Saccharomyces cerevisiae S288C: one gene and its partner. The gene in region 1 interacts genetically with each later gene. Each region holds a gene or a part of one and is shown in the gene's direction. Other genes may lie near its edges.

What was found. A genetic interaction does not mean that the proteins touch.
Region 2: mutations in YJR098C (region 1) and YOR008C-A together harm fitness more than expected from each alone (negative genetic interaction), as found in Saccharomyces cerevisiae (one large-scale study listed by BioGRID).

Annotation. Positions count from the first base shown.
Region 1 is NC_001142.9:613,004-616,766, reverse strand, and holds YJR098C (uncharacterized protein), read left to right. Parts: upstream 1-1,610; coding exon 1,611-3,581; downstream 3,582-3,763. Other genes in the region: AIM25 (Aim25p), read left to right, coding at 1-416; ubiquitin-specific protease YUH1, read right to left, coding at 481-1,191.
Region 2 is NC_001147.6:342,270-345,157, reverse strand, and holds YOR008C-A (uncharacterized protein), read left to right. Parts: upstream 1-2,076; coding exon 2,077-2,301; downstream 2,302-2,888. Other genes in the region: TIR4 (Tir4p), read right to left, coding at 1-823; SLG1 (Slg1p), read left to right, coding at 2,744-2,888.

The DNA of each region.
Region 1 (3,763 bases):
CAGTAGGAGAGACCATTCAGAACTGGCATCTCTGGAGGCGTCGTTACGAATTATTCCAGAAAGATGGAGTAGAAGGATCCACTTTTGACCAATTTGGTAAGATAGATGCACCTTTCTTATCATTTGATTTTCCTGTAACAGATGCTGATGGTAAGATAATGGCGAGTGTAGACAGAAATTGGGTTGGTTTAGGAAGAGAAATGTTTACCGATACTGGTGTTTATGTTGTTAGATTTGATTCGCAGAGATGCTTTGATAATATTTATCCTACTGAGATGCTAAGTTCTCAAGTACTAACTTTGGATCAAAGGGCCGTGTTATTAGCAAACGCTGTGTCCATCGATTTCGATTATTTTTCGAGACATTCCAGACAAACTGGAGGTTTCCTTTCTTTTGGCGGTGGCTATGATGAGTAGGTGAATTATATATTTAAAAGAATTCTGTAAATACATATTTGACTACGCAGTAATAAAACAATTATTATTCCCAATTAGGGCCCAATCCTAGCATAGCAAAGTTTAATACATCTTCTTCATTTGCATTTTCCATATATGAGGCGACTCTCACTCTAACTAATTCCTGTTCAATCAAATCGGTGGCAGTTGGGTCACTCTTTCCCAAATAGAGGGGTCCGCTCAAATTCCTTCCATCCAGTTCAAATATCCCTCCGTTCTCTTCCACATATGTGATATAGTGTAGATTAGTATCTGCAGTTGCTTCTGGTGCTTCTGACTGGCCAGTAGAAAATGTTTGTACATTCTCTTTTATTACATTCAAGACGAATTGGTCGGTAGTAACATCATCAAACCTATTCTTCGAGCTTGAAGTATCACTTTGAGATTTTAAAAAATTGTCCAAGTCGGAGCCGGGCTCCAACAATGACTGGTTATTGCTCAAAGAATGAAGAATTGCATACAATCCGCACGCATTTTTGACTGATTGCTTAAACCATATAACATCATAAGAACTTGTAATTTGTTGACTGGTACTCGATTTTCTATCCTCGTTTATCGGAAATAGCAGCACAATGGCCTTCACTGGCCTTGGTAAGAATGCTAGTAACTCTGGCTCTGTTAAGCTATAGATATCGAAATACGCCCATTCATTTTTTAAACCTAATTTATGTGCAAAATTTGTAAAAACTTCAGGGTTTGATTCAATCGGCACCACAGCACGATTTTCTCCGCTCATACTTTTGCTATTGTATTTTTATAACGATTGTTACTTACTTGTTGATCAAAATACCCTTAATATCTCTTAAGTATGGACTTCCACCTTTATAGTCGACTAAATAAAAATACTTCTACTGAGGAAGTTTAAAACACGGAAAAATTGTTCCAGATCATTATCTGCACTGGTTTTTGGGGCGTTGATAGGCATGTTCACACTTCCTAACTCGACCACAGACATCTCCAAGAATACAAGGTACTTCAATCCGGGTAATAAAACGTCAGGAAGTTTTGAGAAGTTAATAGCTCATCACTGCATTCTCAAAAAATGCTTACAACTCTATGACGCCCTTAAAAAGAAAGGACTGGGTAAGAATAGCCTGCCTATTTTGGTGATACGTAAAAGAATCAACTTGTAGAGGTTAACTGGGGAGTATTACAATGATGGCAACTCCGGCTACTGATCTTATTTCCGATAATGATAAATATAACAAGCAATGTCTTTCTGATTCAAGTGATAGTGGTAGTGATGTAAGCTTTTTTTCCGTAAATGAAAGCGAAGGTGAATTGGATACAATGGAGAAAGTGGATACCTTGATTGGAGGTGCAAGAGTTATAAGCAATAAAGTAGAAAAAGACAGCGATAGTGAACAAAGGGGAAGAAAGAAGGAAACAACTGGGCCCAATAACTATCATAATTTAGAAGAGAAGCAAGCGAGTGCCATTTCTCTTGACGCTGATGATGAAGATCTCGATGAAATTATTTCTTATTCGCATGACGGGAACTATGACAGCTCTCATAAAACTTTCTCCTTTTCCTTACCATTTGGTAATACAAATTTCCGATCAAGTTCACCATTAGCCATAATTAAAACTGTGCTTCCCAAGACTCCAGATGAGTTCATCAAAAAGAATCTAAGAAAGAATGAGATCAAGCAAAAACTGAAAAAATCAACCTCCATTTCTTCCTTGGAAGAGATAGAATTATTTAAATACGAAAGGGGCATTGATAATTCAAGGTTAAGGGCTGTTAAAGAATCTTTGGAAATGGATGCCTTGAAGAACTCCATTAAGCAAATAACAGCAGACCCATTCGACAAAACTCATGACGGATATTACCGTTCGCGTTTAGAATCTATATGGAATGAATTGGAAGGAGATGTCGTTATAATGGGTGGATATCGAGGTAGTGTGCTAAGGGATGCTACTACTCATAAGCGAATTTGGATCCCATTAAAGGCAGGTTTGAATATGACGAAAGTCGATTTATTGATCGGACCTAATGACGAAGATGAACTTAAAACTCAGAAGGAGATTGTCCCTGATGGAATGCTAACACATATAGGGCCTGTTGATATCTCTAAGAGGTTGATAAAGAGGCTAGACGCAAATCCTAATTTAAATGTTCAGCAGTTTGGCTATGATTGGAGATTATCCTTGGACATATCTGCCAAGCATTTAACGACTAAACTAGAGGAAATTTACAATAAGCAAAAAAATAAGAAGGGAATATACATCATTGCCCATTCAATGGGCGGATTGGTCGCACATAAAGTGTTGCAAGACTGTACTCATTTGATAAGAGGTATTATTTACGTGGGTTCCCCAAGCCAATGTCCAAATATTTTAGGTCCTATTAGGTTTGGAGATGATGTGATGTGGAATAAAACTATTTTCACTAAAGAAACCAACTTTTTTATGAGAAGTAGTTTCTATTTTCTACCGTTAGATGGTAGATGTTTTGTTGACAAAATTACCTTAGAGAGGTATGATTTCGATTTTTTTGATACAGATGTTTGGAAAACCCTTGGCTTGTCACCTCTCGTCAATGAGAAAAGAGAGGAATCAGCTCACGAAAAATCAAAATTATTACCAAGGAAAACGAAATCAGCGCTTTCGCTTAAAGCTACCCTAAACGCAACTACCAAGTTTGTCCTAAATGCACCTGTTGTTAGGAATGTAGCCGGCAATAATAAACAGGTACCAAGGGATGTGCCTTTCGATGAAGTCTTCCATACATCTTATGAAGATAGCTGTGAATATTTAGCGAGAACTTTAAAACGTACAAAGAATTATTTGGATAGCTTAGATTACGACCCGAACAAAGAATATCCTCCATTGGCCATGGTTTACGGTAACAAGGTTCCCACTGTTAGAGGTGCTAAAGTGAACGGTATACAAGATATAAAAGATGGGAATTATGAAGATTTTTACTATGGTCCGGGCGACGGTGTTGTTCACCATAAATGGTTATTGCCTGAACAGAGAGGCTTTCCAGTTGTTTGTAAAATCGCCAGTTCTTCAGGTCATGTTAGCTTAATGACGGATTTGAAATCAATGGCAAAAGCATTCATATCTATCGTCGACAGCGAAAAAGAAGGAAGAAGATCTCGAACACGAACTTCTTCATGAAAGGCTTTTTATTCCTTTGTTTACTATTCATATCTGCATTTTTCTTTTTACCAAAATTCCGCATGTCAAAAAAAATCTGGCAACGCACCGCGAATAAAAATAAATAATATTTTTTTATCTTTAGTTGCCTAAATACTATTTATTTCGTCAATTTTACAACCTCTTTTATATACACCATTCGA
Region 2 (2,888 bases), on another chromosome or scaffold:
ATGTGACAGCAGAAGAACTAGTAGCTTCGCTTGTAGAAGAAGCAACGGAAGAGCTGACAACTTCACTTGAGGATGGCGCAACAGAGGAGCTGGCAACTTCACTTGAGGATGAAGCAACGGAAGAGCTGACAACTTCACTTGAGGATGGTGCAACGGAAGAGCTGACAACTTCACTTGAGGATGGCGCAACAGAGGAGCTGGCAACTTCACTTGAGGATGAAGCAACGGAAGAGCTGACAACTTCACTTGAGGATGGCGCAACAGAGGAGCTGGCAACTTCACTTGAGGATGAAGCAACGGAAGAGCTGACAACTTCACTTGAGGATGGTGCAACGGAAGAGCTGACAACTTCACTTGAGGATGGTGCAACGGAAGAGCTGACAACTTCACTTGAGGATGGTGCAACAGAAGAGCTAGTGGATGAAGCAATAGAAGAGCTAGCAACTTCACTTGAAGATGTGGCAGCAGAACTTGAGGTAGTTAGAGAAGCATCCATTGCTTCTAATTCTGGAAGCAGTCTAGAAGAGTACCATGGGACCATAGTCAACATATGCTCAACAGCAGAAAAGTCCACTTCAGAGTACAAAGTGGTGTAGGAGTCATCACTTGGATTTGCAACCAATTGCGCAGCAATATCCATAATACCAGCTGGCATTTGGTCCAAGGAAAAACCTGAATTTGGAGTGTAGGATAGGGTGATGTAGTCGGCAATGTTGGTCTTAACATCATCTAAAACAACGTTCAATTCGTTGATTTGTGCTTGGGTTTGAGCGTAAGCAATAGCAGCAAGAGCGGCTAGTAATGTGATTTTAGAGTAAGCCATATTTTTTATGGTATTAATAAGCGAGTGAATAGGTTTTTGTTGCTGGTTTCTATCAGAACAAGAGTAGGGAACGAGATAAGTAAACGGGCTAAAAACTGATCTGTCCTAGCGATCCTTCCCTTTTTATATTCGAAAGCTTGGGATCATATCTTACTGCGTGGAAAACAAAGAATTTGCATCCTCCCTTTTGGACTATCCTACTTGTTAGAAATGCATCGTTTAGGAACCCTGTTCTATTATTTTCCGTCATTTTTTGAGAATTTCCATTCCTTCTAAAAGTGGCAGATGGGTTGTTACGAGATTTTTACTGATAATTCGCGCGCAGCGTCGCCTCTCCGCGAGTTTCAGTGTAAGCTATTGTTGAAAAGTACTTCGTTTGCCTTTTTAAGTTGCCTTTGGTTGCCATTGTTGTATCTTCAGGGTTTTCTTCGGATCACATCAGCTGTGAGAGTACGGTTAAGTTTGGAAGTCACAACTCGATTATGCCAGTTCGTAAGTGAGCACTAGATGACCTTGCTTTCCCCGTACGAGCCGGTTACGGTAGCAACTTTTGTTTTCCTTGCGCGGAGTGTATGCCTATTCTGATCTTTAAATTTCCTGAAGTGTCTGTCGTGCGCCGTAAACGAATTATTACACACACACGAATCTGGGAAACCGTGAACCCCATACATTGTCTTTTTTTTTTCACAGTCCCTTATCAGTACCGTTTGGCTAACAAAAGCATAAAATATTGTTCGTTCAGATGACCCCTTCAGTACACCGCGTTTACAGTTTCAAAGTTCCTTTTAGAATAGCACCCTGTTCGCCGGCGGATAATTTGCACGCCGTATGAAGGAAGAACATATAAAAACGCAAAATATGAGGCATAAACAATCACAATATCCTCACCTTAGAAGTTAGCCGTAGCGGTTTTCTTGCGCGTGCTTGTTTCTTTTCTTAGTTCTAAGCTTCAGCAAACCCATCCACAATCTTTCTTCAAGAACTTTATCGTGTCTACTTCATAACAACCTGCTAAACAGATTGTGAAATCGTTCCTGCTCAAGCAAGTAGTTTATGATAAATCGTCTTGTAATAGCTCGGCAAAACAACATCATATATGAAAGTGTTTCAAGTTTTTTGCCTAGTAGCAGACTGGAAATTCCACCACCTCTCTTCCAGACTTCGGTTTACATAAGAACTTAATGGTGTGTAATTTTTTTACATACTTCTGGAAGCAGATATCATCGGCCCCCAAAGTCGCCTTCTGCAAAATAATGTGGAGATCTTATCTTGTTTTTCTCTTCTTTATGACACCAAGGATACAAACATATTGTCCTGTACCGGTACTAAGGTCAATGGCAGTATTAAATATTATCTCTCCGCTTATAATTTTTGTCAGTCCTATTAAAAAGCAAGACAGTTTACACAGCAGCGCTTGTTACGCAAATTTGACGTTAGTGGAAAAGCTGCAACTTTGGCATTCTATGTCAAACGATTAGTAATATAGTTGACTACTTTCGTAGAATTCCTTCCTCAAGAAAAATTTTCTCCGCCTTTCCTCTCTGAAGATGGAAATAACGCTGCATGGGGAAGAAAATAATGTAATTTTCGAAGCGAAAGCGAGAGAAACGGAGGGGAAAAATAAAAGTGTTTGGCGTATCATAGCCTCATTTGGAAGAATTTAACGCAGTGTAGTTTTCTTGGACGATACAGTAAACTCGACCAGGCACTAACATTACAGAAAATCTCGTATTGATATTGTTATTGCTTAAAGGGTAATCAAGGTAAACAAGAAAGAAGCTCCTCGTTGTCCGTAAATTTTTTAATAAGGAGAGAGAAAAAGAGAGATAACCAAGAGGAGAAAAAGGAATCTGCATCACATTTATTCAGGATAGTACGTTGGCTGATTTAGTACTCAGGATAAAAAATTCTATTTAAATAATGAGACCGAACAAAACAAGTCTGCTTCTGGCGTTATTATCCATTTTATCGCAAGCGAACGCCTATGAATACGTGAATTGTTTTAGCTCACTACCCTCTGACTTTTCAAAGGCCGATTCATATAACTGGCAGTCGAGTTCACACT